Linked DNA regions of Arabidopsis thaliana. The protein of the gene in region 1 binds, or shares a complex with, the protein of each later gene. Each region holds a gene or a part of one and is shown in the gene's direction. Other genes may lie near its edges. The genes, in order: KING1, KIN11 and AT2G28060.

The links.
Region 2: KING1 (region 1) and KIN11 share a complex: the UniProt entries of both Arabidopsis thaliana proteins name them as parts of the probable heterotrimeric complex.
Region 3: KING1 (region 1) and AT2G28060 share a complex: the UniProt entries of both Arabidopsis thaliana proteins name them as parts of the probable heterotrimeric complex.

What each region holds. Positions count from the first base shown.
Region 1 is NC_003074.8:17,984,219-17,991,828, forward strand, and holds KING1 (SNF1-related protein kinase regulatory subunit gamma 1), read left to right. Parts: upstream 1-3,159; 5' UTR 3,160-3,340; coding exon 3,341-3,545; intron 3,546-3,927; coding exon 3,928-4,100; intron 4,101-4,218; coding exon 4,219-4,374; intron 4,375-4,467; coding exon 4,468-4,743; intron 4,744-4,821; coding exon 4,822-4,985; intron 4,986-5,073; coding exon 5,074-5,374; 3' UTR 5,375-5,545; downstream 5,546-7,610. Other genes in the region: AT3G48540 (Cytidine/deoxycytidylate deaminase family protein), read right to left, coding at 5,580-5,654, 5,756-5,857, 6,057-6,110, 6,377-6,440, 6,607-6,644, 6,761-6,819, 6,963-7,002, 7,400-7,475 and 1 more. UniProt on the Arabidopsis thaliana protein: Regulatory subunit of the probable trimeric SNF1-related protein kinase (SnRK) complex, which may play a role in a signal transduction cascade regulating gene expression and carbohydrate metabolism in higher plants.
Region 2 is NC_003074.8:11,126,826-11,135,324, reverse strand, and holds KIN11 (SNF1 kinase homolog 11), read left to right. Parts: upstream 1-3,219; 5' UTR 3,220-3,368; exon of another isoform or gene 3,369-3,516; intron 3,517-3,811; 5' UTR 3,812-3,814; coding exon 3,815-4,007; intron 4,008-4,136; coding exon 4,137-4,321; intron 4,322-4,415; coding exon 4,416-4,598; intron 4,599-4,693; coding exon 4,694-4,825; intron 4,826-4,922; coding exon 4,923-5,108; intron 5,109-5,183; coding exon 5,184-5,273; intron 5,274-5,358; coding exon 5,359-5,442; intron 5,443-5,525; coding exon 5,526-5,666; intron 5,667-5,802; coding exon 5,803-6,033; intron 6,034-6,318; coding exon 6,319-6,432; 3' UTR 6,433-6,705; downstream 6,706-8,499. UniProt on the Arabidopsis thaliana protein: Catalytic subunit of the probable trimeric SNF1-related protein kinase (SnRK) complex, a central regulator of cellular energy homeostasis, which, in response to seemingly unrelated darkness, sugar and stress conditions, activates energy-producing pathways and inhibits energy-consuming processes.
Region 3 is NC_003071.7:11,948,224-11,955,641, reverse strand, and holds AT2G28060 (5'-AMP-activated protein kinase beta-2 subunit protein), read left to right. Parts: upstream 1-3,388; 5' UTR 3,389-3,599; exon of another isoform or gene 3,600-3,864; 5' UTR 3,865-3,946; intron 3,947-4,998; 5' UTR 4,999-5,023; coding exon 5,024-5,050; intron 5,051-5,150; coding exon 5,151-5,468; 3' UTR 5,469-5,771; downstream 5,772-7,418. UniProt on the Arabidopsis thaliana protein: Regulatory subunit of the probable trimeric SNF1-related protein kinase (SnRK) complex, which may play a role in a signal transduction cascade regulating gene expression and carbohydrate metabolism in higher plants.

The sequences.
Region 1 (7,610 bases):
ATTGCCTATGCGGTCAATCGTTTATCACAAATTATGCATCGTCCAACGGAAGATCATTGACATGCTGCTAAAAGAATTCTAAGCTAGCTACCTTGATGGGACACCCACTCATGGCCTCTTTTTCTCGGCAAACAACAAACTCATTCTTCATGCATATTCAAATGCAGATTGCGGTGAGATTCAGACGATTATGTACTCGTACATCTTGTTAGTGCACCTTCAGTCAGGTCAAACCAGAAGGAGTGTTGATTGCTGGAACAAACTGGAAGCTGTTTCAGAAGATTAAAGTGAAGATCAAGTAATTGATGCTGACGTGGATATACCGCCAAATGAACGAATGACGTGGAGATCACAACAGAATGAGTTCGGTTTGGAAAGAAGATATTCACGCAAAGATCTGGAGTGATCCAAGATCTTGAAGACTAACCTAGAAGACCAAAGACCTCGATGATATAAATAGAGGTGCTAAGGTGCTTGCTAGAGTTGGCCATGATTGTGAGTGAAAAAGCTAGTGCAACGCTTTTCATTGTTAGAGACTAAGGTTTAGTCTGATTGGAATTCTAGAGAGATCAAAGAGTGTGTTCTTGTGATATACTCTTGTGTGTTTAGAGAAATCTCAGGTGACAAGATATAGTAGTTTAGATCTTGTGTAAAACCAATTAAGGTAGTTGTAAACTTCTTAATCAGATTTCTAATAAAGTGATACTCAGTGGTTCTTAGTTTGGGGAATACGATTCTTGGTTCATCCGGAATTTCACATCTACCTAGGACGACGAAACCCAATATCTTGGACAACCAAGAAACGGAAGGGGTGGCAAGATCATCTATAGAAGTAGAGTATAGGGTTGTCGCAAACACGGCCTCTGAACTAAGTTGGGTATATATGTAATATTTTCACATAACTTGGAATTACTTTCAACACACCACTTGTTGTGTACTGCGACAACGTCAAAAATATCTTCCTTTGTGCTAATCCGGTCTTACACTCAAAGATGAAGCATATTGCTATAGATTATCATTTCATCCGTGGTTAAGTTCAACAAGGTGCTCTCCGAGTAGTTCATATCAACACAAAGGACCAATTAGCAGATGTGTTGATGATTGGAGTGTCACAAGCCTCTCCATCTTGAGGGGGCGTGTTAGTGATACGATTACGATTCACATTTATCTCATAATATTTGATTACTCTGTTTTAGGTAATGTCTTAATTGAAAAAAACTAGAGTCTCGTCTCTTATTCTTATATAAATATGTTGATGTACAAAACCCTAAATATATGAGAAATAGTTTCTTAACATGTTCAGGTCATCTATAAGGCAAGTAAAACACATGCTTAAGTCATAAAATAGAATCTAAAGAGACATTATTCTGAAATGATCAACTTGGTCTACTTAGCCTAATTTTAAGTCAATACATACAAATTTGATCTCTCTAACTATATTTGTTTTTCTCTTTCTAGTGTTCTTTTTCTTTCCAATATATATACATAGCATATTTTGAATTCTTTTTGTTTTATGGAGTAACGTCAAATATTATAATAGCCGCATATAAAATTAGAATTTATTAAATATTAATTTATAACTTTTTTATTGTAGACAATTATTTTAGGAAAGCAAAGTATATTTAGACGAAAATAGTATTAGGATGAATAATTTTTTGAAAGTCCTAATGTTGCATATTTTTTGTTTTGGTGAACAAATTTCGTGTTGTAGTTCTTAAACATCTATACTATTAATTGGGAATCATTGAAAATAAACAACCTTACGAAGGGTAAAATATTACAAAAATACTATTGATTGTTAGTATTTTTAAATAAATTCTGATTAATTTAAAATAATTATAATTATGCTTTACATTTAGAAATATATAAACAATAAATTGTACATACTTATTTTGAAATATTTTGGTTTTCTTTTTTCTTTTTTTCAACCTGATTTTTTTTTAAATAAATCCATAATATATTATTGAACAAACTTTTGAAATAATGTAAACTAATACATTTTTCATTCAAAACAAATTATCCAACAAAAATAATTTGGATTATGAGTACTATATAAAATAATTTGAAACCAAACTTGACATCAAATTAAATATCTAACTGGTATGAGTTTGGGTTATGAACACTATATAGCATGTACGTATTTTGTGACACAAATTCTATTTGTGATGTTTACAGGTTGGTAGTATTTTTTTTCCACATATACAGACGGGTTATGAGACGAAAAATTTATGATACATACATCACAGGTTTTCCATTCCAAGAAATATAAGTCAAATATACGTTTTTATTTTCTAAACTAATCAAAACATTATAACTGTTATAACAGTAATCAAAACATTATAACAGTTTGATTACTGGTGTAAAATAGGATATAAATTTGGTTTTAGTTTGGGTTATTTATCTGTGTGAATTCGGATCTTAAAATATAATTATATACCAACATAATTGAATTTCGATTATTATTCTTAACTTTATAATATTTATACTATTACAAAGTTTAATTATAACAAAATATTATATATTTTAAAAATCTATTTAAAAAGTTCTATTTTATATGTATATGAGATTTCAAATATCTAATATATTGTATTATAATATATATTACAAAATAAAAAAAAATAATTTACATTGAATTAAAAATATGAATCCGCACATACGTAAAAGTTAGGATCTAGTAATTTGTATAAAAAAGAAAGAAGAAGATAGTTATCCATTTCATAGGTCGGCTGCTAATTTTTGGCGGATTTCTAATAATTATATACAATCCAATTAAATAAATGAAATATGTCGTGGAAAGTGGAAACTATATAAAGGATAGAGATAAGTACGACTTCGACAAATGGAGATATATTATCATTATTATTATTATAATCATTATCTTTCGCTATTCCTGACCAATACCCAAATGATCTCCGCTACTCTTTCCACGTGTCAAAAGCACTGAATTGAACGGATGAGATCTTAAGTCACTAACCAAAACAACACTTGAATTTTTTTATAACAAATCACAGTTCCACCCAATGAAATCCATTTTGTTTCAAAATAAACCCGTATCTTTATAATGAAACTGAAAGATTCAAGGATGTTTTTGATAAATTAAAAACTATGTAGGGCTTCATTCATAAGATTTAAGACAACAGGGTTTATGAATTTGTCTCTGCTTCACGATCTCTCTACTATGGTGTACTGTATCTTTCAATCTATAGTTCAGTTACAAAGATCATCACAGCCAATTTTAGAAAACTTCTGACGGAAAATAAAAAGAGAGGATTTATTTTTATCTTTCTGTGTTACCGGAGAATAAAGACGGTACCTTTTCACTGTTGACTTAACGGAGAAGATGGCGACTGTTCCGGAGATAAAGATAATGAGAAGCGAGAGCTTAGGTCATCGGAGTGACGTGTCGAGCCCGGAAGCTAAGCTAGGGATGCGTGTGGAAGATCTCTGGGATGAGCAGAAACCACAGCTCAGTCCTAACGAGAAGCTCAACGCTTGCTTTGAGAGCATCCCTGTCTCTGCTTTCCCTCTCTCTTCTGATTCACAAGGTATGAGGATTTTGATGATGTGGGTGTTTGACCATGAGCTGATCTATAATTGGAACTGGTAATTGTGTTGAATTTGAATCATGTTCTATGGAGATTGATTTTGATTTTTGTGATGCAATTATTGATGGGTTCTGTGATCTCTTGGTATGTGTTTGTTGATGACTTGTAGTAGGAATATGTGCTGTGTGTTGAAATTCAAGTTATTGAAAGTTTTATAAGTCAGAATTTGGAATTCAATCCAGCTTGTTGGATACTCGAATCAGTTCGATTTAGGGAATCAGAATTAGTTCTTGATGGTTTTTGTTTCTTAGTCTCCTTGTAGAATCAGAGTACTTATTGATTCAGTTCTGCTGTCTCACATCTTTGTGGTTTCCCTATATAGATATTGAGATAAGATCAGACACAAGTTTGGCTGAAGCTGTTCAGACACTATCGAAATTCAAGGTCTTGAGCGCGCCTGTTGTAGATGTTGATGCGCCTGAAGATGCCAGTTGGATTGATCGCTACATCGGTATTGTGGAATTTCCAGGCATTGTTGTCTGGCTTTTGCATCAGGTAATTGTTCTCCAAAAAATACGAGAGGCGACTTGTTTTTGTCATGATCAAATTGGATTGTGGTACCTAGTGAACTATACTTCATGTCTGTACTCTACTTGTCTCCTTTAAAAAACAGTTGGAGCCACCATCTCCAAGGAGCCCTGCTGTTGCAGCTTCAAATGGATTTTCTCATGATTTCACCACCGATGTTCTGGATAACGGAGATTCAGCAGTAACTTCTGGAAACTTCTTTGAGGTCCTTACTTCTTCAGAGCTATACAAGAACACCAAGGTGAAGCTTGTTTTTTTATGAAGGACCTGATTTCAGTTGACTTTTTTCTCCTGATTACGGCTTCTGAAATGCGTTGGATATTCTCTCTGACAGGTTCGAGATATCTCTGGAACATTCCGCTGGGCACCGTTCCTGGCTCTGCAGAAAGAGAACTCCTTTTTGACCATGCTGTTACTTCTTTCTAAATACAAAATGAAGAGCATCCCGGTGGTTGATTTAGGTGTAGCAAAGATCGAGAACATTATCACACAATCAGGAGTTATACATATGCTGGCAGAATGCGCGGGGCTTCTCTGGTTTGAGGATTGGGGAATCAAAACTCTCTCTGAAGTCGGTCTTCCCATTATGTCAAAGGACCATATCATAAAGGTCAGTTTGTAATCTAACTCATAGCTCCATTGAGAGTTTTTTTTTTCCTTTTTTAACAGATCATTATTTCTCTTTCAGATCTATGAGGATGAACCAGTTCTTCAGGCATTCAAGCTGATGAGGAGAAAGAGAATCGGAGGCATACCTGTCATTGAAAGGAATAGCGAGAAGCCAGTAGGCAACATAAGCCTTAGAGATGTTCAATTTCTCCTCACTGCACCTGAGATCTACCATGACTACAGGTTAATACTTCACAAATCCTTGTGATGATGATACACCGAGTTTTGCAGCATTGTCAAATCTTCAATCCTTTCTCTCTCTTTATTTTAGGTCAATCACAACGAAGAACTTCTTAGTATCTGTTAGAGAGCATCTTGAGAAGTGCGGGGATACATCAGCTCCTATCATGAGTGGTGTGATTGCTTGCACGAAGAACCATACACTAAAGGAACTGATCTTGATGTTAGACGCGGAGAAGATCCATAGGATATATGTTGTGGATGATTTTGGTAACCTTGAAGGACTCATCACTCTTAGAGACATCATTGCAAGACTTGTCCATGAGCCATCCGGCTATTTTGGAGATTTCTTTGATGGTGTTATGCCTCTTCCCGAAAACTACCGAGTCTGAGAGAAAAATGGTATCTTTCTTCTGTAAATTGTCTTTTGTTTGGTGATAATGCTTCTGTCTGTTTGTGCTTAAGTTCTCGAAATTGTGTTATTAACGTTTAACAGAAATAAGAAAAGAAGAAAGAGCCTGTCTTTGAGTGAATATGTCTGAAATACAATAACTCTTAAGATTCTCGGATTTGGCCCTACATTTTGAATTTGAACAATTAGGTCTCTGGTTGGAGTAAGTGTTCTTCGAACTTGATCAAGATCTCATCCATCTCTGGTTGATGTTTCCTGACCTGAAAATTTTGGTTTCAGACAGATTTAGATACCAAATGAGACTTCCCATTACAATCACTGTAGAGAAATTTCATGTGGAAATCTAAGTGGCTTTAATTACTTTGACGTTTGCCATGGATAAGAGCTTGTGAGAAGCTACATAGGCAACATCTGAGTCATTTGGTCTCTTTTCCACAAAATAGATTACCTCAGCAACACCAGACTGCAAGAAAGAAAACCGAAATGACAAAAGTCCATATGATTGTGATGATCTACTTGCATCAAATTGGTTAATTGGACTAACTAGAACATTTGGTTTTTATATGACTGCTTAGCTGAAGACATTGACCATAAAAGATTACTAGAGTAGCTTATTAAGGATCCAAATTTGACAAATCAAGCCAATGGTATATAGAACAAACCTGTAAAATAATCTTGGCACATTCATTGCAAGGGAACATTGTCACATAAAGCTTCTGCAAGAGATTCGAGGAGCACAAAACAAACTCATATAAACCATCCACACACAAATACTTCGGAACAGAAACTGCAGCAGAGTTCCCTAAGTTTTCTATACCAAATAGCATTTCCAACTTATTAGCTTTTGCGCAGAAACCTAAAAGAGAATATTCTGACAATGATCTTGTGTAGGATACTTTAAAAGTTTTAATCTTTTCACTCAAGCCAGAAACACCATGATTTGTGAGAAAATAAACACTGAACAAATTCCAAAGAAACAAACCTGGCCAGCCGCCGATGCGTGGTTTGTGTTTAGTATGGCATTGACTTCAGCGTGACAAACATATCTACAAAATCAGAGTCATGAACATCAGAGCTTAGCAATGAGCCTAAACGGATGAGAACTGAAACATCTCACCGTATTACAGATTCCCAAAGAAAGTGTGCACAATACTCATCAAACAAGAACTTAAAGATTCAGCCATAGTTTGCATCACTAAGATTAGTACTTACGGATACTTGGTCTCTAATGGGTCCCCAGTTCTTGATTTCTGCAAAATTGGTGGGGAGCAAATTAAGAGAAAATTAATAAATCTAGGGGAGAAAGTTCCTTGCATTATCTCTAGACAACTTCTGTATATTCTTAGAATTCAGATGAAGGTAATACCTTGGCCCAAGGAAGTTTGTCATCAGAGCAGCCTCTTGGAAAACCATTATAGCCAATCCCTAAATGAAAGATGAAAGTTTTTGAGTCCTCGTTTATATGTGTCTCGCATGTACCAGCTAAGTGACAAAATGAAATAAACTATACAACCACACTTCATGTTGTTCAAAGAGATCAAAACACAAGTGTGATCGTATTATCTTACCAAGGATTACACCATTTTGGCTCACCAAACATGCGCCAACCTGCACAGCCATAAGACCGGGAAAGATAGTCAATTTTTGAATGCATCCAACAAAATCCATCCTTTTTGCATCATATGATCCATCAGAAATGGATATGAAATTGCCACAAAAGGAAGATATAAATTTCGAATTTGTGAACCTTTAGTCAAAACTATACTCTAATCCTAAAGACCTTAAAGTCCATAAACTATACTCTAAATGTGCTAGACATCAAAACACCAATGCATCCATTCATTACAAAATCAGCCAGTGCGATATCTTAACACCGAAAGAATACCTCCACTTTGATGATAGAAAACTATATAGTATCATGAACATAATACATTTTGAGCAGCTTACACATATATAACTGTTTGGATACTCATGTTGTTCAAATATCACAAACAACAAAATTTACCTGCCTGTTAGGATCCTTGGATCGTTCTGCAGAAAGGAATGCAATCGCCATGAAATAATCATCCCATGATAAGTACCTTCACAACAATTCAAACAAAATTCTACCATTAAAAATCAAAGCAGATTCTAAACTTGGGATTTTCTGAAAGTTGGAAACTTTAGCTATGGAATAACGAAATTAGATATATTGAATGGAATTATGACAAACCCAT
Region 2 (8,499 bases), 6.9 Mb from region 1:
TGAAAATTTATTTACCTCTTCACTAGCTATCTTCATAAGTAGCTTGCTTTATCGAGTTCAAAATATAATAACACAAATCACATAAAGTTTAAATAATTGATCGAATGATTTTAAGAGCTAATTAGTTAGACTATAAATTGGTGCTTTGAGATTTCGAACAGAAAAACCAAAGTCGAGCTTATTATATAGCTGGTAAGAACTTTGAACAACATTCTAAATCCCCTATATATTAATTGAGAAATACTTTTTAGAAATAACCTTATTTTCATGTGTAATTAAAGAAAATGTCATGCTAACATGTCGTTCTCACATAGCTTCTCAATCCATTTAATTATACACCTAACATTTATTAGAATATTTACAGATTTGCATTAGTTTACTTATATATATATTTTTCAAATTAATTTATGATTTTTCTACTCAATTATTCAAATGAAATTTCAATCAAAATATGCAATTAAGAGATACAAATCTATACAAGATAAAGTATATAGAAATATGCAATTAAGACATACAAACCTACATATATTAGAGCGAGACCGACCCGGTCCATAAAACTTCTAATCCTATATTTTAAAGCCCAATTTGACCATAATAGGGCTACATGACTTTTCCGGGCTTTTTATTTCGAATAAACAAACTTATAATTTATAATATCTCTGAAAAAGAAAGAACATATGTATGACATGAGTCAATCAAAATTTAAATAACCACTAAAACTAAGTTAATTTAAAATAAAAGTTTTGTTGAACCAAAAAAAAAGGAAAGAAAAAGTTTAAAAACAAAGAAATAATCCAATAAATTGTTTAAACTTATACTAAATAAAAATATAAAATCAGAATACTTCAAAGATGTAAGGCACAATTAGAAAACTAGATTTAGGTTTTTCAATTCAAATTTTTTTGTAAAACAATTTTCATATTAACAAAAATATTTAACAAAACAAATATCAAAATATTTATGTAGGACTTTTTGTCCGATCCGATCCTAGCCGGACTAAGCTCCAAAAACATTTAGTCTAAAAGAGCAAATTTTTCAAGACATATATATATTTAACCCGAATTCGCTGTTTTTAGAGTAAGGCCAGGCCAGCATACGAGCATTATCTCTAGTTGACATGCCTAACTATTAGGCTCAACTTTCCACATACATTTATAAAACACTAGTGTTCTAAAATACGGCTTATACGGTGTATCTATACTGTACAGTTGGAAGCAGTACTGTATTATGGTTATACAGTTGTTAAATACAATGAAAGCTATATACGAGTATATACAATGAATTCTGTGTAAAAGGTGTATTAAAAAAAATGCTCAAAAACAAAAACTATGGTATTTTATTGGCAGGAAATTTATTTGGAATATTTTAGGCAAAAAACAATTTCCAAATAAGGGTAAAATAGTCATTAAAAATTTACTGAAAGTAGAAATGAAAATGTCAAATATGAAAGGGTATAACTGAAAAAGGTAGTGTGAAAAGGGCATTCTCAGCAATTATTCTACATTTGAACTATCTATTTTATCTTAATAAACTGTTTTAATTCTATAGACTACATCCATCTTATTGATGATATTTAAATTTTAAATAATAATTCATATACTTTTCAGTATTTAATTTAGTATTTCCTTAAACCAAATTTCAATCTTACATATTCAATTTTGCAATACAATTTAAATATCTATTTTATTATATAAAAATACAATTTAATTCGATTCCATACAATTCATATACAATTTGATTTTGCAATACAAATACAATTTTATTCTATACACTCCATCTTATTGTGTTAGTTTTCCTTCTTAGTTAAGAAAATTTTAAGTTAAATTTTTCGATATAGAAATATAAATTGGTATATGTATTTGTTTTTGTTAAATTTCCTATTTCTTTTAGAAAAAATATTTAAAAAATCTCGATTTTGCAATACAATTTAAATATCTATTTTATTATATAAAAATACAATTTAATTCGATTCCATACAATTCATATACAATTTGATTTTGCAATACAAATATAATTTTATTCTATACACTCCATCTTATTGTGTTAGTTTTCCTTCTTAGTTAAGAAAATTTTAAGTTAAATTTTTTAGATATAGAAATATAAATTGGTGTATGTATTTTTATTGGTTAAATTTCCTATTTCTTTTAGAAAAAATATTTAAAAAATCTCGATTATGCAATACAATTTAAATATCTATTTTATTATAATACAAATACAATTAAATTTGATTGTATACATTTCAAATACAATTCGATTTTGCAATACAAATACAATTTAATTCTATACACTCCATCTTATTGTTAGTTTCCCTTCTTAGTTAAGTAAACTATAACTTATTTTTTTTAGATATAGACATATAAATTAGTATATGTAAATATTTGTTTTTGTTAAATTGCCTATTTCTTTTAGGAAAAAAGTAAAAAAAAATCCGACACAATATCAACATATGAACGATTGACTTGTTACGTGTCACGATCAGTTGAGTTATTAACTTTAAAAACTCTACTTTATATAATAAAATGCGTCTGAAACTTCTTAATTTATCCGCTTTATCATTAGCACGCTTTTATATATAGAAAACTAGATTTTAACCCGCGGTATACCGCGGAGACAATTTATTTTTTAAAGTTACTATATATAAAAATTTGCAAATTATATTTATCTATAAAATATTTTTATTTTATAGTTTACGATTGTTATTAAGTAACGTCCTGTCAAACCCGTCCCGCCAATCCGTCCCGTAAAAAAAATTCACTGATTTTATTTATGATATGTTTATGAATCATTGTCTAAATATTTTTTAATTTTGTAGTAATTAAATGCTATCTAATATCTCTGCGGTTTGATGATTATAATCGAATTATTATAGTCATGTAGAAAAACAATATCAAAAATGATAATTTTGTAGTAATTAAATGATATTAAATATTTCGGAAGTTTTATTTTAGTAACTAATCGTGTAGTTAATGTGGAAAGATTTTGGGAAGATTGTCAAATATTTAATTTAAAGATTTTCTTTCTAATTATCAAAAACAATTATTAAATGCGAGTGGCAGCCACTGTAAATAAACTCCAACTCTAGGATTTATTTCACAAAGTGGCTGCAAAAATGTATATATAGATCATAAAAACAGTAATATAAAAATTTTAAACCTTAAAAAACTAGTTTTTCAAACAAAAACAGAAAATGGGCAAAAAGGCCCTAATTTAAGGGCTTGCAAATGGCAATAAATGTTTATCTGGGTTTTGTGGTTTCTTGATTCGTCATTACCAATTTTCACCATGAAGACTTAAAAAAACCTGACTCAGCTCTGCGTCACCTACGAGTTGGAAATCTGACTTCCCCAAGAATTTCTTCAGATTACATCGTAATTTACAATTCTGCCCTATTTATACCCATCAATCTGATTCTCCTTGTTTCTGTATATTTCTTCGCTCTTTGTTTGAACAATTTATCTGGGTTTTTGATTCTCGGATCTACTCCAAGACGGTTTTCGAAATTAACAAGCTTTTCAGGTAAATTGACTTTTTTTTCTTTGTAAAGGTTTATCAATTTTGTCTTCTAAACTCAAACTTGTGAGTCTCTTGTTTGGTTTCAGACCAAAACCACCATTACAAAGTAGTTATGTCGGTGGTTCTTGTCAGTTTTCTTACAAGCTTATGGTTGGTTTAGATTAGATTTGATGAAATGAAAATTGAGTTGAAGAATGTTTTTTTTTATTTGAGCAAGTTAATATGTTTACTGATGTTTTTCTATAGAGAAGTTGCTAAGAGAGCTTACTTATGAGTTTGATGTTGAATTGGGACACAGGAAATGGATCATTCATCAAATAGATTTGGCAATAATGGAGTGGAATCGATTTTACCGAATTACAAGCTTGGTAAAACTCTTGGAATTGGGTCTTTTGGGAAGGTGAAAATAGCAGAGCATGTTGTCACAGGGCATAAGGTTGCTATCAAAATCCTTAATCGTCGTAAGATCAAGAACATGGAGATGGAAGAGAAAGGTATATACAAGCACCGTTACTTTTAGCTTTAGTGGTTTCTAGAACAAAAGCTTTGATAATCAAATGTTTCTGCTTATTAGGTTTTAGTATGTATTTTTATCTTAATGTATGTATATTTCTTCTTTACAGTGAGGAGGGAGATTAAGATTCTACGGTTGTTTATGCATCCTCATATTATTCGGCAGTATGAGGTAATAGAGACCACGAGTGACATTTATGTTGTGATGGAGTATGTCAAGTCTGGAGAGCTCTTTGATTATATTGTTGAGAAAGGCAGATTACAAGAAGATGAGGCTCGTAACTTTTTCCAGCAGGTTTGTTTTCTCTTTACCATAACCAGTGTGTTTGTAGCGTATCATGTCATCTTTGAGTTTGAGTGTTGTTTGTGTTTGACTCATATCCGAATAGATAATATCTGGTGTAGAGTACTGCCATCGTAATATGGTTGTCCATAGAGACCTGAAGCCTGAGAATTTACTATTGGATTCGAGGTGTAATATTAAGATTGCAGACTTTGGGTTGAGTAATGTTATGCGGGATGGTCATTTTCTAAAGACGAGTTGTGGAAGCCCCAACTACGCTGCTCCCGAGGTATATAGTTTAGTAAAGTTACTGAATTGTTTTTCACCTATGTGACTATGTCTCGTTTCTCTTATGAGTGTCTTATCTCTTACTTCTTGTTGTAGGTTATATCAGGTAAATTATATGCTGGACCTGAAGTAGATGTATGGAGTTGCGGAGTTATATTGTACGCTCTATTATGCGGTACTCTTCCTTTTGATGATGAAAACATTCCCAACCTTTTCAAGAAAATTAAGGTACTGTACGTTATACTTTGATTCAGCTAAAAGACTCTTCTTAAATGGATTCATATGTATGTGAAGTAACTTATCAAGGTGTTTTTTTTCTCTTTAGGGTGGGATTTACACTCTTCCAAGTCATTTATCATCTGAGGCTAGAGACCTGATCCCAAGGATGCTTATAGTTGACCCGGTGAAACGAATCACCATTCCTGAGATCCGTCAACACCGTTGGTTCCAGACTCATCTCCCTCGTTATCTTGCTGTCTCTCCACCGGATACAGTAGAGCAGGCTAAAAAGGTTGGTTTCAGTGCCATTTGGAGATTAATAGAGTTCACTTGCTGTGATAGTAACAATATCTCTTATGTTTTGCAGATCAATGAGGAGATAGTTCAAGAAGTGGTTAACATGGGATTTGATAGAAACCAGGTTTTGGAATCTCTACGCAACAGAACACAAAACGATGTATGTAGTTTCCTGTCTCTAATGCTTTTAATCCCCGAAACTAGTTTCCAATAGTCACTGAAATGCCATTTGCTCCTTGTACCAGGCTACTGTTACATACTACCTGTTATTGGATAACCGGTTCCGTGTTCCAAGTGGCTATCTAGAATCCGAGTTTCAGGAGACAACAGTATGTGTTTTTCTTTCCTCTCAGTAGATAGCTTTCCAACATTTTTGACTAACATGTTCACCTTTTCAACGTTACTCATCTAGGACAGTGGTTCCAATCCTATGCGCACACCTGAAGCGGGCGCTTCACCTGTAGGCCACTGGATTCCTGCACATGTGGATCACTACGGGTTGGGAGCAAGATCACAAGTCCCTGTTGATCGAAAATGGGCTCTTGGACTTCAGGTTTGTTCCTGATTACTGATTCTTTTTGTTCCTCACCATAAAGTCTTCTGAATGCAACACACAATCAGATATCTGTACTCTTTGCCTCTACATAGCCAAATCGATAATCATTCTGTTACCTTGTTGTTTTGAACAGTCTCATGCGCATCCTCGTGAAATCATGAATGAAGTTTTGAAAGCTCTTCAAGAACTCAATGTGTGTTGGAAGAAGATTGGTCACTACAACATGAAATGTCGATGGGTTCCTGGTTTAGCTGATGGTCAGAATACTATGGTCAACAATCAGCTGCACTTCAGAGATGAATCCAGCATCATTGAGGATGACTGTGCCATGACTTCACCCACTGTCATCAAATTTGAACTTCAGGTAACTATAAACTCACACATACATTTGTATCAACAACATTCCTTGGAGAAAATAAACAACTGCCTAGTTCGGTTTGTTAGGGATATGAATCGATCAACGGGGTTTACATTCGTAGAATTGTGCTGGAGCAAAGACTAAGATCCTGATGTTGTTTTATCCCACTAGTAGTAGTTCAACAAAACTAAACCAGCTAGGACATAGACTAAAACCTTCTTTAGAACTTGAACCAACTGTTTTCGAAGAACAATTATACACTTTCTGAGTTCACTTTTGATTTTGAAACAGCTATACAAAGCCCGGGAAGAGAAGTACTTGCTGGATATACAGAGAGTTAACGGTCCGCAGTTTCTCTTCTTGGATCTATGCGCCGCCTTTCTTACAGAGCTTCGTGTGATCTGAATGTTTTAACCATTTGTTGAGACATTTTTTTTCTTTCATGTTCAATGGTTTGTAATAGTAGAGAACATAATATAATATGTGGGTGCAGTGTTTACTTTGCCGGGTTACTTTTATATACCTGGATTCTAAGTTAAACTCTACTGTAATAGTAACTATCCTTTCTTCTTTTTGATGGTTTTTAAGGTTTGATCATGTGTACATAACTTAGCTGTTTCATTCTAACTATTGTATTTCTCCTCTGATGCCAATTTTATACAACGTTTATATCAGACACATTATACATGTCATACCTAAAAACATTGCACGCAGAGTCCATCAAAATTCCATTTCACAAAATTCGGCTACCCAACTTAAGTCCTTAGCATCAATACAAGATGTGGAACACGATATTAATACAGAACATTGGAGAGCTACTTTGTGTGGACAATGCTTCTTGCAAAAGGAGTAAATAGGTCGCCGTCGGACAATAATATATCGGGCTTCAAGGATAAGTCCACCCCAAACATACATTGAATGTGTAGGGTAACACTACAGTACTCATCACACATAAAACCGCTCCTTCGGATTTATTTTGCTGATTTTTCATCATCAGTCGGTTCGGACCGCAAACTTCACACCAATACATCGTTGTACTTATCTCATCCCCATAAGAAAGAGTGAACATATGTTTATCATGCTTATACATTACCTTATGAGGTAATGTAGCACATTTGAAACACAAAGAAAAGTAGTCACACTCAATGCAATTGAATGTTTCCTTTCTGGAATAATGTCCTAGCTCTTTGCAAACTGAAAAATGTCTTCGCTTCTCTCCCGGTTTGGTTGTTAGGAATAAAGGATGCAAATGACTTGGATGGACTAGTGGCTCAGAAATCTTGGCGCATTGCATGTGTAGCAGAAAACAACATCATTCTTTACTACATTCATAGAAGAAACCAGCTTTACACAACCAAGGACAAGCAAAACATGTATCCTTATGATAGTCCATAACACCGTCATAAATTTCTGCCACCTTCGCAGAAAAAGTGTGTATAGCCTTCTTCTCCTGGTTGCCTAAATTTCTGCCAATTTAAGGAAAAACACTTCCACTTGTTATTCGTGGGCCGCAAGACTTCTCCAATCACATGGATTATTCCTTCTTTAAAAGTTACTTGTGCTTGAGGGCAAACTGAAATAAGTTTCTTCAACTTTGAATTTTTGAGATGACGAGGGAGAATATATTGGGCCTATGGGCTTAGTCGGTTTTGATATTTAGAATAGGTTAACTTTATGCTCAAGTTGTAACCTATATATAAACCAAGCAATGTAACCTAAAACCCTAAGAGATTCAGTTTATACAAACAAGAGTTTCTTGACATGGTATCAGAGCAAAACCTAAACTACTCAAGGGTTTGTTCGATTCTATGATCTAAACTTCCGCTAAAACAACTCTGTTTCTTATTTTCTGTTTTTTAAAACTATCTCACAAAGGAGAAAATCATGGCCACGAATTCTGCTACGTCGTCGGCTCTGATAACCTCCACCACCAATCGCCGTACAATATCTCCATACGATTTAACTTCCGGTGAGAACCCCGGAACCGTGATCTCCAAGCCTTTGTTGCGTGGTCCAAACTACGACGAATGGGCCAACAACATATGCTTGGCTTTGAAAGCTAGAAAGAAGTTCGGTTTTGTCGACGGTTCTATACCTCAACCACCAGACGACGATCCCGACTTTGAAGACTGGATTGCTAACAACGCGCTTCTTGTCTCTTGGATCAAACTCACGATTGAAGAAAAGCTCTCTTCGTCCCTATCTCACATCAATGACTCTCATGAACTCTGGACTCATATTCAAAAGAGATTTGGAGTGAAAAACGGCCAGAGAGTTCAAAGATTGAAAACTGAATTGGCAAATTGCAGACAAAGAGGTCTTGCTATCGAAGCATATTACGGCAAACTAACTCAGCTGTGGGGGAGTCTTGCCGATTACCAAAACGCAAAAACAATGGAGGAGGTTCGAAAAGAGCGAGAAGAGGACAAATTGCATCAGTTTTTAATGGGTCTAGATGATACCATCTACGGA
Region 3 (7,418 bases), on another chromosome or scaffold:
AAGTTTTTCCTTTGGATATATAAAGTTATTTTGGGGCTTAGTTGAAGTAAAAAAGTTTTTATTTCTATTAGAAATTTTAAACAATGCCTATTTTCACAATACTCTTGTGAAAAAATGTCAATATAGAAAATAATTTAAAGAAAAAAAATACTAACTTCAACTTTAAGCTTTTTTGTTCGTTTAAGCTTTAGATATCTGAACAAAGGTTTGGCCTAGTGCTTTTCTTAATTATGCAAACAAATTGCTGACATTTTAAACGATATAATACAAAATTTTGAAATATCTTGCTCTTTTTTGGTATTAGTATCAGCTTTTCTTCTTTTTATTTAATGATATTAATTGAAAAGAAAAGAAAAAGAAAGTGATATTTGGTTATCTTTATAATCAAGCATGAAGAAACCAGCTACTTAAAATAAGAAAAAAATATTGTTTGTATGATAAATGGCTTACAGATTTTTTTTCATTTTTTCTCGATGTTAACGTTATTTGAGTAACTATTTACTATCTGAATGGGAAACACTATTTGGTTTTGTTGAAATTGGTGGCAAGTTTTAAGTGGGCTTGAAGAAGTAAAACGGCCCATACACAAATTTGCAATTATTTCCCTCTTTCCGATCATTTTCCTTGAAATCGTTCACGTGATCCATGATACTCCTCCTCCATTGCCACTCTATTTAGCAATTTACTCTTCTGCTCTCTTTTTTTTTTCTTTCTTTCAAGTTTCACCATGCAAAGACAGAAAATATAAGAAAATGCTTCATTTGGTATTCTTGGTTTTCCTATAAAATGAATATATCGACCTATCCAAGGCTAGTAGCTTGATTTTTGTAGTGGGTAACTTCAAAAGGAAGAGTCTCTCAAGACCAGGAGTTTGGTTCTCGGCGGTGGGAAAATGATTCATTTAGCCTGTTTTTGTTTGTAGTTCAAAAATCTACGTACCAAAACCCCGAAAATTTTGGTCAACCAAAAATAAAATCCGAACTATATAACTGCGTTATCATCTATTCGGCACTACATAGGAACTTGAGGTAACAAACTTAACATTTTCTTGTTTTTCTACTACAAGAAAACTGTCCAATTTTCGACCATGAATTTAGTCAGAAATTGGTCAAAAACAACCCTGAATAAAAGCAATAAAGAAGAGTTATCCAAAACTAAAAATTTGAATAAAAAAGCATAGAAAATAACACATACTTTTGCATTACATACGTCTTCATAAATATAGACACCAAAAGAATCAACACATCAGTCTTATTTGTATAATTAAATTCTCAAAATAGAAGAGAAAATAATCAAGGCGATATCTTGGACCGGGAGGTAACTTTAGATGAGGAACACTTAATGGAAACAAGAGGCTGATAATTTACAAACCGGCTCGGAGCGGATCTTGGTCGGAACCCTTTAGGCATACAACTCTTTACTTGTGTCCCATGAAAAATCTGATTCCTCGGATTCAATTTGACCGTGTCTTCGACTGATAAAGGCATCATCGACGAGCTTGGAACACTCTCCAGTGGTATTAGTCTCCCTCCAGCGTACAAGAATAAAAGGTTTAGAGTGATAATGACAATATGAACTCTTGTGTTGAACATTGGGTTTTAGTTTGAAGTAATTATTTTTGTTTTTTTGAGAGAGTTTGGAATGATAATGTGAGGGATATATAAGTGGGAGGAGATATACACTGGTTTAGGGTTAAAGTTCATAAATGGGCTCGTGAGTGATGGCTGGAAACATAAGAGAGAAGAGTAAGTAGGAGAGGACAGAGGCAAAATGGCTGGAAAATGGTATTAATCAAAATACGATTTTATATGTGTGATAGAGATACAAAAAAGTGTTGATGGGGTCGGGAAGATCAGAAAGAGGTAGGAAAGTCCGTGAGTTTCAGAAATTACAATCAAAGATCAAACATTTGTCTTTGCATTTATGAATTATGACACACTCACACGCAATTTTCTATATTTTCAAACTATTGTTTCTCTTGTTTTAAAATGGTTTGGAGATTGGACATGGATTTTTAAATATATATATTATTATGTACACGGTTGCATGGGTTTTCGGGACTATTGGATTTTGCTTTCTTTTGGATAACAAAAACACGATAAATATTTCATTAAACCATACAAATCTTCGATTGATAAATACATATACGAAAACATACCTAAGGAAAAGGAATCCATTGTTGTAGGATTTAGGTACCATGCGGTTTTCCAAACCATAGAGTAATCTCATATGTATTGAAATTTAAAAAAAAAAAAATACAAAGAAGAACTAAAAAACAGAAAAAAAAAACTAAGAAAATAGGGAAATTAAGTTGGAGTCTCTTTAATTTGTTTTTTTTTTGTCATCTAGAGTTATTTTAATGTTACCATGATGAAATACTTGATAAAATACAACATTAAACCGAAAGAAAACGAGATTTTTTCGAAGTTTAAGCCCTAAGTAAAAAAGTCATAAATAATACTACAAAGCAAGAGGAAAAAAGCAATAGTAGTTGAAATCCCACCAAAACTATAAGTCGCATAGTTCTTGAAGATTATTTGAAAGAAAAGTATCGCGGATGCCCACCACCAACCAACGATACACAAGTCCTCCTATTGAGATGAACAACAACCTTCAGATTTCAGAATTTTTAAGCTTTATAACCTGATAACCACTGCCCAAACTTTCTTTCGTATGTGGTGATGTCATAAATCGACAAGAAACAATAAACATTAAGATTATGTGCCTTCATTGGATCATGGACTGAAAATTAAGCTCTTCGATCAACTAAAACAAATTTATCATCATTGTTTTCATACTCGCTGCTAAGTTTGCAGGGGAGTATTAGAGTCCACAACTAAAACAAGTCCAAACCCAATGTGAGGTCTACATAAGTAGAATTTTAACAAGTTAGAAGATTCATATAAACAATTATGTAATGAGAACTATGATTGTAACTTTGAGAGAACTCTCTTCCTTCATCTTATGAAATATCAAATCTAGAAACATTGGCTTTTGGTGACAAACCTTAAGCTCCTTTACATTTTTCTCTTCTTTACATTTCAATAAAGCTCACTAGAACTATTGCATTTCTATCTTTATATAATAAGCTCAATGAACATCAATCTATATTTGTCTTAAAAATGTCAAATAAATAGAAGTTTCATGAAAGGACCAGACCTCGATCAAGTCTGAGAAGCATAGACAAGGAGTGAAGATTTAGTCTCGATAACACCATTCTTAAGAGACGAAAAAAGGTAAAAGATCGAATCGCATAGAATCAAAGAAATCTTCACATATTCAGAGGAAAAACAGCATGTCTAGCGAACACTAGAGTCGAACAAAAGCAAACCACCAATCACACATCCTTATTTGTCAATTATTTATTTTGGAAACTAAAAAGAAAGTTAATGAGTAAAATAGTTTCCATAAGAAGAAAAAAAATGTTTTCTGAGGAAAGAAAATGTTTTCGAAGGACAGCAAAGTTTAAGCCAATAAGCAAAACAAAAGCTGATGCTTGTCGCGACTGTGTTCGTCAAGAATCTCCAGGACGAACCCAATCTTCTCTCTCGAAGCTGTCTAAAATTAATCAATCAATCATTGAGCTAATCATATTCTAGGTTAAGTAAAAACAGAGTAAACCCTCTCTTTTTTTCTCTTTCTCTGCCTTTCTCAATTTCGTTTCGTCTCCTTCGTTCTTCCAATTTCCGTCTGATTTTATACGAAATTTGCATTGATATCGAAGTAAAATCGAATACCCATGATTCAAAATTTCATTTTTTATGCGACTGATTCCTCAATTTTGATTTTCCGGTGATTTCTAGGGTTTTCTATTAGGTGGGTGTTATTTATCATTTGATGGGTCATTTACTGATGATTTTGCAGGTTTTTGTTTTAAGGATTTGTGTAGACTTTCATTGCTGCTACGTTTTTGAAAGGGTAATTTGAAGGGCTTAGCTTCCCAAAGGTGAGAATTTTAACTCCAGTTTGGCTTCTGATATTGTGTTCATTGTTATGTATTTTTAAGCTTAGTAGTTGTGTTTTAAAGTTGTTCCAGTTTGGTTGATAAGTGTGTATGTGTGTTCATCAGATTGGGTGAGTACAGTTCTTTCATTGATATCTCCAGTTGATTTGTGGGAATTTTGTTCTGTGTGTATAGGATTTAGACCTCAAATATTGGATTCTCTTTAAGCATTTAAGTGCCTGGTTTCTTCATCATCACTTGATAGGAGGACTTTACAAATTTTATTCTGAACATGGAATTTGGTTAGCCGAATAACTTCGTGGGGATTAGTTTCTCGTGCAAGGAAATTCTTCATGGTTCTGTCTTGGAAGTGTTTGGAATCTTGAAGCTTGATAGATTTTCGATGTAGGCATGATGCGGTTTTCTTATAGGTTTAAAGGGTCTTTAGCTGAGATATGGTTCCTATGGTGTGTAATAGGTTTAAAGGGTCTTTAGATGAGATAAAACTGTGCAAAGAGTTCATATAATAAATGGTTAAATCCTATATATTATCTGTTCAGTGTACATAGAGAAGAATTAGCTGTGGAATTTGGATGTACATGATAATAACAATGTAGTTTATGTCTTCCAACTTGTCTCTGTTGTGATAATGATCAATGTGTTTCTATTCTAACTCCTGTGGTCCATTGATTTTTGAATCCTTTGTCCACCTTAGTACTTTCTTCGAAGAAGGCATGGGAAAATATGATTCTCTGGTCCAACTTTCTTAAGACTGTCTGCATCTTTGGATCCTTAGATTTGTCTACGGGATTATGAATTATTTGACTTTTGATACCGATTAGACAAAAGTCTTACATTTCACACAAATAAGAGTTTGCATCATTGTAGAGAACAACATTGTTTTCATTTCTGCTTCAGTGTTTTTGAGTTGAAATGTAAACACCTCTTTCTCTTAGATTAGTTTGAATGGCACTTGAGCTGGTGTGACCTACATTCATTTTGATTGTTTACTTTGCATGCTATTGCGGTTTAGTTATGATTATATTTTGTTTCAGGCACTAGGTGGCAATCTTATCCAAGATGAACAGTCAAAATCCTGATGATCATGTAAGCCAGCTAAAACACCTTTTTGCCTTCAACCAACTAATCGAGTAATTTCCAGTCTCCCGCTCGATTTTTCAATCTTTTATCGTTTTCTTAAACATAGGAGGACACAACGGTTGTGGGATTTGAAGTACCTGTATCACCGGTTTCAAGTTACAACAATGTGTATTCCTCAACCGAAGATGAGACAAGAGATCCTCCAGCAGTACCGCCACACCTTCAACACTCTCTATTAGGCAATCAGGGTAGCATGGAACTGGCTTATGCGCCACAGAATGTTGTCCTGAACCACCTCTATATCGAGAACCGAGACGCCCCAAGATCTGTTGTAGCACTCGGTTTCTCGCATCGGTTCAGGACTAAGTTTGTCACTGTGGTGATATACAAGCCTGTCCAAAGAAGAGGGAGCGCCAATGTTTGAATAATGATACCTCTTTTTAAGTAGTGTTGGGAATTTGCTTCTTTATGGATTGAATTTGGTATACAAAACCATCTGGTCCGTACTGAATTTTATTCTTCTCTTACAGATTCGATTTAGACGGTTTCTAGGTACATTCGATTGAAATCATCTTCTTGTTCGGAGTTTATATAAAATCTCCATGCATTTTTATTTTTTAGGCCCAAAAAAGCTGATAGACGTGGGCATTGTTTGTTTGTAATAACTCCCTTAGATTGGGTTTAGTTAAACGAGCCCAAATATCGCTAATGAAGTTCTTTACTTGCTCATATGTAGTGTTACCATAAATTATTTAAATCTTTCGTAGCTCCAAAAAGGAAAAAAAAAAAAAAAAATCTTAATCAAAACTTTCTATGTCCGAGATAAGTTACCAAACTAATGCTCTAAAACTGGATTGGATCGTCGGATCAATGCATTAGTCTAAAACTGGATTGGATCGTCGGATCATTGCATTAGTTCGGTTTGAATGTAGATCACTTATACTCTCGTTGTTTTTAATTAAGTGTAGTTTTAAGGTTTTTTATTTTTTTTTAATATAAGTGTTGTTTTCACTTTTCTATGCAAACATTAAATGTATTTAATAATTTTTAATTAATTATATTTTTTTACTGGTTGGATTAGTTGTAATTAATGATGTTTTTATAGGAAAAAGATAAATTAAATAAAATTTGTATGTTTTCTTAATTTGTGTGCAAAAACTTTAAACTACAAATATTCAGTAACAGAGGGAGTATATAAAAACAAAGTTGGTTTGTGCATGGGAGCTTATTTGCACAAAATTGATTAAAAAATGGGTTCTGGATATTAATAAGACTATGATTAATATCCAGAACCCTATATTTTTTTCAATTTCATCGAAAGTTTCATCAATGTAACGTTAAAACAAATTATACATCTTACAACCGTCAGAAACTACTTTAAATCCATGATATCACATATATGAAACTAACATTATTATTTGAACAAATTAAAAAACATTATATTACGCATTATAACATTGAAAAACAAAACAAAATAACTAATATAGAATAAAATAAATTGTATCCGGATTGGAAATTGCTTATCTGATATTTTTTTTAACCGTATTTTAACTTAGAACAAAAAAAACAGAGTGTAGGGAAACATAAATTCTACCAAATTCGAATATATAAGAAAAACATAAAAAAAAATTAACAAATAAATTAAATAATGGAAAAAGCAGATAGGAGAGCTAATGGTTTAGTGGCGAATCTAAATTCTGTCCAAAGAATTGTCTGACCTCCCCTAGCTCAACATCTTGGGAAGAATATTAATTTATCCGTTTTGTTCATCCGCCTAAAGAGATAATTTATCTGCAAAGTTTTTTTATATTTGTAAAGTCATTCGGTTTTGCCAAGTTTTACTAGGTCTAGGTAGATTAAAAAGTAAATTCGGTTTGAAAGTTATATTTGGGTTGGATTACTGTCCAAGTTACGGGTATACCGGTCCAAATTCAATAACACATCCAATAAAATTTTCGATCTTAAAACATCTTCTTTGACCTGTCCGGATAGGTAAATGTCTAAATCTCTTTTTGAAATTAGGTATGAAATCTCATAGAACTAGAATGTAACTCCAAAATGATTCTTGAACATGAGTGTGACTAGCCAAGAGCATACCAAATTTAAGATCATTATGATATGTCCAAACTCCAAATTTAAGCCACACTTATTTTCTCAAAATTATACAGAACTATGATTTACTAAAATTGGATTCTCTGTCTATTTTTGGTATAGCTATTATCCTAGTGAATTAGCACAATGTTATTATATGCGCTCTCTGCTAAAAGTAAAAACCAGCTATCTTGTCAAAACAAAAATAAAAAGTTTCTTAACCAACACATGAAACTGATAAATACTATATAATATAAAATTAACATATATCGCTATCAAATCA